Linked DNA regions of Pelodiscus sinensis. The main gene of each other region encodes a partner of the protein of the gene in region 2 in a complex. Links are inferred from orthologs where the notes say so. Each region holds a gene or a part of one and is shown on either strand. Other genes may lie near its edges.

Region 1 (3,742 bases), on a different chromosome or scaffold from region 2:
TTACAACCAACCCCTCACCATTTAAAAAATAAATAAACTTGATCCAACTTAGCCTCAACCACAATAGCTACACCACTCATGGTTTAATTTAGGACAGAAATAGTCCTGGGTACATTTCTCAATGTTTGTTAATAAAGAATAGGCAGAAGCCGCATCTCTCTCCACATATATTTTTCCTGAGGGACAACAAGGTGACACCACCACATCACTCTGCATCCCGCCACCCCTCAGCCGCACCTCCCCCCCGCCTGAGGGGTGCTGGAGTACCCCCAGAGAGGCAGGCGCAGGTCCCTAGCATACAGTTGGCTGATCTTAGCCTGAAGGCGAGAAGCGAAGCACCACTGGCTCACATGGCCTCAAACCCAGCACTATGGTTTCTCTTTCAAAGTGCCTGCCCTGGGGATAGATTTGGGGGGGGGGGAAGGAGCCTGCCCGGGGGGGCGGAGCGCGGGGGGGGGGAAAGGAGCCTGCCCGGGGGGGCGGAGCGCGGGGGGGGGGGAAAGGAGCCTGCCCGGGGGGGCGGAGCGCGGGGGGGGGGGGGGAAAGGAGCCTGCCCGGGGGGGGCGGAGCGCGGGGGGGGCGGGGGGGGGGAAGGAGCCTGCCCGGGGGGGCGGAGCGAGGGGGCGGGGGGGAAGGAGCCTGCCCGGGGGGGCGGAGCGCGGGGGCGGGGGGGGAGGAGCCTGCCCGGGGGGGCGGAGCGCGGGGGGGGGCGGGGGGGGGAAGGAGCCTGCCCGGGGGGGCGGAGCGCGGGGGGGGCGGGGGGGGAAAGGAGCCTGCCCGGGGGGCGGAGCGCGGGGGGGAGGAGCCTGCCCGGGGGGCGGAGCGCGGGGGCGGGGGGGAGGAGCCTCACACGAAACCCGCACTCCTGAGCCCTACGGATACCGGGGGGGCGCCAGTCAGGCCCCTCGCCCTGCGCGGGGAAGGCGGGGCAAGTCCCAGGGAGGCGGGGCCAGACAGCCGCCGGGCCAGGGCAAGGCCCCGGGACCCGCTCGCACCGGGGGGTTCAGCTTCGCTCTCTGCCCAGGAGGGTCGCAGGGACACGCACCGGCCCCGGCTGCTCCTCGTGCAGCGGCCCCGCCCCTCGGCACACTGTGCGCGTGGACTCTCCACTCCGCCCGCGCGACCCCCGCCGGCCGCACCAACAGCAGACCCGAACCCGCCGTCGCTGCAACAACTCGCCTCAGTCAGCCGTCGATTGTCCACACCCCGCCTATTGGCCGTCTCCCTCAGGACTCCGCCCCATGCCTGAGACCGACCAATCGGCCCTACTTCCGTTCTTTAGCAACAGCGGCTCATGGAAGGGGGGCATCCGGGTGTCTTTCATTCTGTCCTTCCATTGGACTCTGGTCTTGCCCATCAAAGGAAGGGCTAAATTTTCCGTTTCGGATTGGACAGAAGGCTCGAAGTCTCTGCCCTGACTCCGCCCTCCAACGGAGAAGGAAGGGGCTGGGCTAAACTTACCGAACAAGGGCGGCGATTGGCTATGGAGGGAGGGGGCAAATCAGTCAGGACCTATCCCCGCCTCCTTTGTTTGGGGTTAAAGGTGAGCGAGGGGTAACCTAGCAACAGAGACACGCTGGAAGAGGACCGGAAGGGAGGCGGCGGCGGTGGTGTGAGCAAGTGAAGAGAGTTGGGGGACCTCGCCCGCACCCCCGGCAGCCTCCTGCCCCCATGCCCACCCAGGGAGACCGGGGAGCTTGCTCCCCTATTCCCACGCTCAGGCCACCTCCCCCCCCCCCATCCTTACCAACCTGGCCACCTGCTCTGATAGACCAGCCCCTGTTCAACCCACCGCCACAGAGACCTAGGAGCCTCCAACGGGACTGAGCAACCAGCCCTCTTCCCCCCCAAAGCAGGGCATCCCTGCCCCATCTCAGTCTAGTCTCACAAGGGCTGGAGAGTTTTCCTTCCACTTTTCAGCATAGGAAACAAACAGCTCATTAGCTGTCTCAGGCACTGGAGGCTAACCACTAGAATTAGTTTCACCTCCAGCACAGGAGGGTGGGCTGTCATAGGCATAAGGACCCAATATTCTGAATGTGCTTTTAAACTTAGAGACAGACCCCATATAATTTTACATTCTCAATTTTGGCCAAGGTATATCATGATGCTAATGCTAAAATCAAACTTTTTTTTTTCAGGTAAATGTTGTGAAAGAAGAGCATGCAGCAAAACAGCAGGGGAATCTAAATCTACGTGTATTAAGATGTCCTCTGTGACTGTATTCATATAGAAGATTTTTGCTCCCTTTCATCTTAGAACTTTTAAATATTTGACTGAGAATATGGCAACAGAGGTGGCTATCGTGCTCCAGTTGCCATATGAGGCAACTGAATCAACCACCAGGCCCTCCATGGGATACAGTCAGACTCCAAGAAAGTCAGTGATGAAACCAAGTCCACTAAAGCTTTTGGATCCAGCTCGTTCAAAACTTACCACTGTTGAGACAAAGAGGATCATATCTGTTTTGGATGAGACCATCTTTAAGATAGAACTGATCAGTCTGATCTCTCACATTACTGAATGTGTGGGTGATTTAAGCACTATCCTGGGATCTGAGCTCATAGGTACCCTTAAGGAGCATGAGCGGCTTTCAAACAACATGGAAGCTTTACTTACCCAGCTTCAAAGAGAAGGTTTCCTGAAGCAGGATGATGGAAGAGGGGACCTTGTAGGAACTGACCGCCGTCTTCAATTGCATCAACAAGCTGTAAAAAGCTCTATAAGAAATATTCTGAGACTCTTTCAGGCTGACCCTATAGCTTCTCAAGCTGTGAAAGACGAGGCTTATGCTAGGGATTTATCATCTGAAATGTTTCTCAAAAGGTTGTCAGAATTCCGGGGTTTCTTATTTGAGAAACTCCTGACTAGTCCCTTAGAAGAACAAGAAAAGATTCAATTCATGGAAGAAATCTCCCTCCAGGAAAAGAAAAACAGTGAAACTATTGCAGCATTAGAGGCAGAACTTGCAATGGCAATCCAGAGTCGAGATGATGAGGTACAGTGGTGGTAAGACTAAACATTTCAAACTAGAGACCTAGGTCATTGTAGGAAAGGCCAGTAAACTAAACTATATTCTGTTTGTTGCCTCTCAAAGTGGAAGTCACTAAAATATTTCTTAATACACATTCTGAATTAGAAATAGTTATATCTACAATATAGTTGAGAGAATATGTCTGTCTATTTGTTCAAGAACTTTTCCAAAACAGAGTTAGGGCTACCAAATACAGTGTACAGCCTTCTCTTATCATAACGTAAAGCAGCGGTTCCCAACAGCCAGTCCACGGTGCTGGCTGCTGGGCTACAGCAGCTGCCAGAGCTGAAGCTGGCTGTTTGCAGAGGCTCAACTATCTCCAGCACCCATAGAGACTGATTTTTGCACTGTGACAGAAGTGGTAGCAGGAGCCTTCCTCCCGCTCCCACCCAGATAAGTTGGTGGCTTGGCCTCCCCCTCACCACCTGTGTGGCCGATCTTGCTGCTGGCTGCGGCACTGGGCTGAGACGGTGGCAGAAGGAAGCAAATAAAATGTTAACAGTCTGCCTAAAGTTTGTGAATGGGTTTGCTGGTCCACAGTATAAAAAAGATTGGGAACTACTGACTAAAAGCAAGGTAAGGGTTTGATTGTGCCAGGAAAATGGAATGTGCCTTCTCATAAAACCATATAGAAAAGAAACAGAATTACCAGGCAAGTGAAAGGGGTGAGCTGGGGATTTGCCCCCCATCTGGGACTTCCTCAGCGCC
Region 2 (3,742 bases):
CCCACCCCAGAGCCTAGGGGGAACCAAAAAATCCACTAATCCTGGAACCCCAGAAGAGTTAATCTGGCCTGAGGCCTTGAACCTCAGACCTACCTTCTCTCCTCCCTCCCCACATGGGGCTGGATGCCAGGGGAGTGAGGTGTCTCAGTTGGGGCTACATCAGTGAGGTTGAGGGTTTTTGGAGGCGTTGTTTTTTTGCATCTCACTTGTACGGTCCCTGCTTTTTCTCTGGGTCACTGGCCTACCCCGACCCAAAAAGGTTCCCCTCCCTTCCCATAAATAAAGACAATGTTGAAACCTTTTGTGTTGGACATATTTTATTTAAAAATGAAGCCTGGCCAACAATCTCCTATCTGGCCACAGCATCACAACATCATAGCACCCCTCCCACACACCAACCCTGAGCCCCTCATACACCTCCTCTGCCCTGAGCCTCTCATACACCCCAACCCAAACTCCTGCACCCCACATCCACAAGCCAGTGGCTGGCTCAGCACCTCAACCCTCCACCTGACCCCAACACTCTCCAGCCTGGATCCCCCTCCCTGAGCCAGCATCCCCTTCTCCACCTCCTCCTGCACCTAATTTCCCTCCAAGAGCTTGCACCTCTCACCCCTTCTCACACCCAAATCCCTCATTCCCACCCCAGAGCCCGCACCTCCTGTCTCAATCCAATGAGAGTGAGCAAGGGCTGTGGCCAGCAAGTGATAAAGGAGGGGGAACAGAGAGGGCGGGGACTCGAGGAAGGGGGGGGCTCTTGGGGTAGATCTTGGCTTGCCCTAACAGTTAAAACGTGATCTTGGGTGCAAAAAGGTTGGAGGCCAGGGCAATAGGTGCAGCAGGGGCTGGTGGGCAGGGCAGTACAGAGTTGGAGGGGGCTGCGTGGAACTTGGGGGGTGAGGCGGTGCAGGGGGTGGTGCAAAGTTGGGATGGGACGGCACGCGACACTCCCCTCCCCCAAAGCCCCTCCGCACTCTGAGCTGAGGCGCCCAATGAGGGCGAGCGGCTTGTGGCCTCGGGTTGCTAGGCGACTGGGAGCGCCGCGCTGGGTCTGAAGCGCCAGAGGCCCGGCTCCGCCATGTCCTCCCTGCGCGACGCGGACCCCGGACTCAGGGCTTATTTCAAGCGCCACAGCCTCCTCGACGTCTACGAGGTAAAAGGCCCCGCCTGGGCGCACCAGCTCCCGGCTGAGCTGCGGGCGGAGGGAGCCGGGCTCGCAACGGCGCTGCGACCCACGCGGGGCTGAGTCCGTGTTAGCACCAACCCCCCCCCCCCCCCCCCCAGCCCGGCCCAGGGTGTGACTGACGCCTGGGCGCCACCTCCCTGAGTGTGCGGCTTGCGGCGTGGGCGGGAAGAGACGAGCTCGCCTGTGAGCCCTGGAACAGTAAGTTCCCGCCACGAGCGCAAGCCCAGGCGCGGCTGGCCCCTTTTCACCTCCCCCAAGCTGCCATGCTGGGCCCGCTAAGTCAGTGGGATCTCTTGCTGTTCCGCCCATTGACTTCAGTGGGTCTAGTGCGCCCGTATAATTACCTCGGCGGGAGGGGATGATTCTTTATAGCTAGTCTGGTTGAAAAACACGCTCAAGAACAGCAATTCTTACACATTCCACAAATCTCTGTGGACGAGGCCTATTCGTCTTGTAGAATAGTGATAGAAATGTAGCCGTGTTAGTCTGGGGTAGTTGAAGCAAAATGCAGGACAATGTAGCACTTTAAAGACTAACAAGATGGTTTATTAGATGATGAGCTTTCGTGGGCCAGACCCACTTCCTCAGATCAAATAGTGGAAGAAAGTAGTCACAACCATATATACCAAAGGATACAATTAAAAAAAAAGAACAAATATGAAAAGGACAAATCACATTGCAGGACAGGAGGGGGATTCGGGGGGGGGGGGGAGGAAGGAAGGCAAGTGTCTGTGAATTGATGATATTAGAGGTAGGGAGAGTGGGATGTTTGTGAGTTAATGGTATTACAGGTGATAATTGGGGAAACTGTCTTGGTAATGGGTGAGATAGTTCAAATGTTTGTTAAGTCCTTGTTGGCAAGTGTCGAATTTTAACATGAATGACAGTTCAGAGGATTCCCTTTCAAGTGCAGATGTAAAAGGTCTTTGTAGCAGAATGCAGGTGGTTAAGTCATTGAGAGAGTGTCCTTTCTGGTTAAAATGGCAAGAAACTGTTTTCTCTTTGTGATCTTGTCTGATATCTGTTTTGTGGGCATTAATCCTTTGGCGAAGTGTCTGAGATGTTTGTCCAATGTACATAGCAGACGGACACTTTCGGCACATGATAGCATAGATTATATTTCTGGATGCGCAGGAATATGTGTTCTTGATCTTATAACTCACTTGGTTAGGTCCAATAATGGTATCAGCAGAATGAATATGTGGACAAAGCTGGCAACGGGGTTTGTTGCAAGGGAAGGTACCAGGGTTGGTATTAGTGTGGTATGTCCTGTGGTGGTTGGTAAGAATCCTCTTGAGGTTAGGTGGTTGTCTATAGGAGACTATGGGTCTGTCTCCCAGAGCCTCTTTGAGTATGGTATCCTGTTCTATTAGTCTTGTGTTTGACTATCTCGGTTTTCTGTCCCATGCCAGAGGGTGCTTGTGGCTTCTTGTACAGTGGTTCATTGATGGAAAGGCATAAGCGTTTCTGCTGCTCCTTCCCTCTGTCCCCTAAAGCAGAGGTTTTAAATCTTGTACCTTCTTGGGCTTGTCCTCCACAGGCCACACCCAACATGCATACTATAGAACCTCCACAATAGGGATGTACCCGGTTAACCAGCAAGCATCAGTCTTATGTGTGATGCTTTTTGGTAACCGGTTAACCAGCGGCCTGGCCTGGCTGGAGCAGCTTCACAGCCCCTGTACACTAGGCTTGGCCCAACCAGAGCAGCCCTCTGCCTGTGGTGCGGTGTGGACCTGACCTGGCCAGAACAGTCCATGGTGCAGGGCGCTCAGATGTGTTGGAGCAACCCTCTGTCTGGGTCTACTGTGACACAGGTAGGGGGCCACTCCTGCCTGGGCAGGCCCCCTACCGTGGGATCCCAGTTATCTCGTTAAACATGTTTATCTGATTAACTTTATATGGGATTTTATATCCCTATTCCCTACTTGGCTCTGTGTGACTCCCTGGAAACAGCAACATGTTCTTGCAGCCATGAGGTAGAAGCATGGCAGGGGATGGGGACGGACGGACTGTATGCTGCACCTTGCTCCAAGCCTCAGTACCATAGTACGGTTGTAGGAGTATAATTTAGAGCTGTCAATTGACCTGTGTTAATGCCTGCGGTTACCACAGGACAGGTTTAACGCGTTAAAAAAATTAAAGCGTTAATCGCAGACGTTAATGCTGCACTGCCTCTTCAAAGGAGCAGCGCAAGCAGAGCTGGGGAATCCGCTGGCGTACCTAATGCACTGCCCCTTTAAAGCCTTGTGCTGCCCTTTTGAAATGCCATGGTGGCGCTTCCAAGGAGCAGTACTGCATGGAGCCCAGGGTCAGCTGGGAACTTCAGCTGATCCTGGGCTCCATGCAGCGCTGCCTCGTTGAAACACCGCCAGGGTGTTTCAAAGGGGAATTGCACATGATTAATTATGCGATTAATTGCTATTACATTTTTTAATCACGTGATTAAAAAAAACCTTTTGCGCAAGATCATTATACTTCAAAAAAGGAGGTATAAGGAACTTGTGCAAAAGGGGCTTTTTTGCAAAAAACGGACCTTCTACACTGCTTGTTTTT
Region 3 (3,742 bases), on a different chromosome or scaffold from region 2:
TGCTAATCAGCCAGAAGGCATTTTAATCTCTTCTGGGTGGCTGCCCAAGTGCTCAGCTTACAAGGAACACTAATGGACAGCTTTTGGGTGTAGTGCCACACAAAAGTGCATGCTGCCTCTCCCTGCACTGAGACCAGGATCCCCTGAATCGGGTGAAGGTTACACCAGAAAGATGCCTGTGCACTGGCATCTTGGGTTGTTATGTGTTCGCACCATGATCTCCAGACCCACACTGTTCCCTTTTGAAGTCAAGAGGAAGTCAATTAACTGCAAACTCCCCCTGGGACCTGACAATCCAGCTGTTCCATTCACCTCTGCCTCCCCCGACTGAGGAGTCTGCTGTTAGATCATCCTGGCCTGATGGCTCACTGCACAGTGCAGGCTGGACTCCAGCTGCTTCTCCCATGGCTGTGATGCACCTGAGTAGATGCTTATAGCCTTAATATGCCTCACGGACATCTGGGGAGCAGATCTGGGAACTTGGTATAGGCCCCTAGCTAGAGTGAAGCCCTAAGAGACCCAGTGAGTCCACAGGGCCCGGAGTTTGGAGGGCCCTCGGCCTGTCCCCCTAACATGTACAAAGGCTGAGTGATTTTCCTGATCAGTCCCATCCTCAGCATCTGTGCATCTTTGTGGTGCTCCGGGGAGCAGAGGGGCACAGCTGGCAAGAGCCAAGGAAGCCCTGGGCCTCACACACAGCTTGCTGTGCACGGTGAGTGGGGGGATACTGCAGCGCAGCAGGGGACGGGGGGCACACCAGGCAGGCCACAGCTGGAGCGCCCTGCTCCACGGAAGCTGTGGCTGGCGCTCGGAGCATGGCAGCCTGGGGGTGTGTGGCCAGGGGCAAAGCACACGAGTGGATGCCGAGAAGACTCGGGCTTGGCCAACGTGCCGGGTGCAAGGCTGACGGGCCACGGGGCCTTCCCCTCCCCCTGGAGCCGGGGAGCCGGGCACCAGCGTCCCCCGTGAGCGGGGCCGCCCCAGCTGGGCCGCTGCTCCTGGCGCTGCCCATGCGCACGTGGAGCGACGTGTTCCGCACGCGGCCGGGAGGGGGCAGACGGGCTGCACCGCGGGACGCCCGGGCAGGGGCGGAGCCAGGGGTGGGCGGGGCCAGCGGCCCAGCGGCGCTCAGGGCCTAGAGTAGCGCTGCCGGCGGTTGCCAGGGCGGTGACGCGCGTTGCTATGGGCAGGAGCTCTCGCGAGACTTGCCCGGCGGTTGCCAAGAGACGCGGTGACTCTGAGCCCGCGCCCCAGCAGCCATGGTGAGGGCTGGGGGGTCGGGGGGGCCCGGGGGCAGCAGGAGGGGGGGGGTCGGGGGGGCCCGGGGGCAGCAGGAGGAGGGGTTCGGGGGGGGTCGGGGGGGCCCGGGGGCAGCAGGAGGAGGGGTTCGGGGGGGGTCGGAGGGGCCCGGGGGCAGCAGGAGGAGGGGTTCGGGGGGGGTCGGGGGGGCCCGGGGGCAGCAGGAGGAGGGGTTCGGGGGGGGTCGGAGGGGCCCGGGGGCAGCGGGAGGAGGGGTTCGGGGGGGGTCGGGGGGGCCCGGGGGCAGCGGGAGGAGGGGTTCGGGGGGGTCGGGGGGGCCCGGGGGCAGCAGGAGGAGGGGTTCGGGGGGGGTCGGGGGGGCCCGGGGGCAGCGGGAGGAGGGGTTCGGGGGGGGTCGGGGGGGCCCGGGGGCAGCGGGAGGAGGGGTTCGGGGGGGTCGGGGGGCCCGGGGGCAGCGGGAGGAGGGGTTCGGGGGGGGTCGGGGGGGCCCGGGGGCAGCAGGAGGAGGGGTTCGGGGGGGTCGGGGGGGCCCGGGGGCAGCAGGAGGAGGGGTTCGGGGGGGGTCGGAGGGGCCCGGGGGCAGCGGGAGGAGGGGTTCGGGGGGGGTCGGAGGGGCCCGGGGGCAGCGGGAGGAGGGGTTCGGGGGGGGTCGGAGGGGCCCGGGGGCAGCGGGAGGAGGGGTTCGGGGGGGGTCGGGGGGGCCCGGGGGCAGCGGGAGGAGGGGTTCGGGGGGGGTCGGAGGGGCCCGGGGGCAGCGGGAGGAGGGGTTCGGGGGGGGTCGGAGGGGCCCGGGGGCAGCGGGAGGAGGGGTTCGGGGGGGGTCGGGGGGGCCCGGGGGCAGCAGGAGGAGGGGTTCGGGGGGGGTCGGGGGGGCCCGGGGGCAGCAGGAGGAGGGGTTCGGGGGGGTCGGGGGGGCCCGGGGGCAGCAGGAGGAGGGGTTCGGGGGGGGTCGGAGGGGCCCGGGGGCAGCGGGAGGAGGGGTTCGGGGGGGGTCGGAGGGGCCCGGGGGCAGCGGGAGGAGGGGTTCGGGGGGGGTCGGGGGGGCCCGGGGGCAGCGGGAGGAGGGGTTCGGGGGGGGTCGGAGGGGCCCGGGGGCAGCGGGAGGAGGGGTTCGGGGGGGGTCGGAGGGGCCCGGGGGCAGCGGGAGGAGGGGTTCGGGGGGGGTCGGGGGGGCCCGGGGGCAGCGGGAGGAGGGGTTCGGGGGGGGTCGGAGGGGCCCGGGGGCAGCGGGAGGAGGGGTTCGGGGGGGGTCGGAGGGGCCCGGGGGCAGCGGGAGGAGGGGTTCGGGGGGGGTCGGGGGGGCCCGGGGGCAGCAGGAGGAGGGGTTCGGGGGGGGTCGGGGGGGCCCGGGGGCAGCAGGAGGAGGGGTTCGGGGGGGTCGGGGGGGCCCGGGGGCAGCAGGAGGAGGGGTTCGGGGGGGGTCGGAGGGGCCCGGGGGCAGCGGGAGGAGGGGTTCGGGGGGGGTCGGAGGGGCCCGGGGGCAGCGGGAGGAGGGGTTCGGGGGGGGTCGGGGGGGCCCGGGGGCAGCGGGAGGAGGGGTTCGGGGGGGGTCGGAGGGGCCCGGGGGCAGCGGGAGGAGGGGTTCGGGGGGGGTCGGAGGGGCCCGGGGGCAGCGGGAGGAGGGGTTCGGGGGGGGTCGGGGGGGCCCGGGGGCAGCGGGAGGAGGGGTTCGGGGGGGTCGGAGGGGCCCGGGAGCAGCAGGAGGAGGGGGTCGGGGGGGGGTCGGAGTGGCCCGGGGGCAGCAGGAGGAGGGGTTCGGTGGGGTCGGAGGGGCCCGGGGGCAGCGGGAGGGGGGATTCGGGGGGGGGTCGGAGGGGCTCGGGAGCAGCAGGAGGAGGGGGTCGGGGGGGGGTCGGAGTGGCCCGGGGGCAGCAGGAGGAGGGGTTCGGGGGGGTCGGAGTGGCCCGGGGGCAGCGGGAGGGGGGATTCGGGGGGGGTCGGAGTGGCCCGGGGGCAGCGGGAGGAGGGGTTCGGGGGGGGTCGGAGGGGCCCGGGGGCAGCAGGAGGAGGGGTTCGGGGGGGTCGGAGGGGCCCGGGGGCAGCGGGAGGGGGGATTCGGGGGGGTCAGAGGGGCCCGGGGGCAGCAGGAGGAGGGGTTCGGGGGGGGGTCGGAGGGGCCCGGGGGCAGCAGGAGGAGGGGTTCGGGGGGGGTCGGAGTGGCCCGGGGGCAGCGGGAGGAGGAGTTCAGGGGGGTCGGAAGGGCCCGGGGGCAGCGGGAGGAGGGGTTTGGGGGGGGTCGGAGGGGCCCGGGGGCAGCGGGAGGAGGGGTTCGGGGGGGTCGGAGGGGCCCGGGGGCAGCGGGAGGAGGGGTTCGGGGGGGGTCGGAGGGGCCCGGGGGCAGCGGGAGGAGGGGTTCGGGGGGGGGTCGGAGGGGCCCGGGGGCAGAGGGAGGAGGGGTTCGGGGGGGTCGGAAGGGCCCGGGGGCAGCGGGAGGAGGGGTTCGGGGGGGGTCGGAGTGGCCCGGGGGCAGCAGGAGGAGGGG

The links. The genes of interacting proteins can lie anywhere in the genome.
Region 1: FBXL13 (region 2) and DRC10 share a complex: the UniProt entries of both Homo sapiens proteins name them as parts of the nexin-dynein regulatory complex. The link is inferred for Pelodiscus sinensis from reciprocal best matches to the Homo sapiens genes FBXL13 and DRC10.
Region 3: FBXL13 (region 2) and DRC4 share a complex: the UniProt entries of both Homo sapiens proteins name them as parts of the nexin-dynein regulatory complex. The link is inferred for Pelodiscus sinensis from reciprocal best matches to the Homo sapiens genes FBXL13 and DRC4.

What each region holds. Positions count from the first base shown.
Region 1 is NC_134725.1:14,340,896-14,344,637, forward strand, and holds the start of DRC10 (dynein regulatory complex protein 10), read left to right. Parts: upstream 1-1,209; 5' UTR 1,210-1,543; intron 1,544-1,562; exon of another isoform or gene 1,563-1,620; intron 1,621-1,672; exon of another isoform or gene 1,673-2,001; intron 2,002-2,141; 5' UTR 2,142-2,284; coding exon 2,285-2,998; intron 2,999-3,742. UniProt on the Homo sapiens protein: Component of the nexin-dynein regulatory complex (N-DRC), a key regulator of ciliary/flagellar motility which maintains the alignment and integrity of the distal axoneme and regulates microtubule sliding in motile axonemes.
Region 2 is NC_134711.1:23,449,159-23,452,900, reverse strand, and holds the start of FBXL13 (F-box and leucine-rich repeat protein 13), read left to right. Parts: upstream 1-782; 5' UTR 783-1,078; coding exon 1,079-1,153; intron 1,154-3,742. UniProt on the Homo sapiens protein: Substrate-recognition component of the SCF (SKP1-CUL1-F-box protein)-type E3 ubiquitin ligase complex.
Region 3 is NC_134722.1:2,207,324-2,211,065, reverse strand, and holds the start of DRC4 (dynein regulatory complex subunit 4), read left to right. Parts: upstream 1-1,189; 5' UTR 1,190-1,259; coding exon 1,260-1,262; intron 1,263-3,742. UniProt on the Homo sapiens protein: Component of the nexin-dynein regulatory complex (N-DRC), a key regulator of ciliary/flagellar motility which maintains the alignment and integrity of the distal axoneme and regulates microtubule sliding in motile axonemes.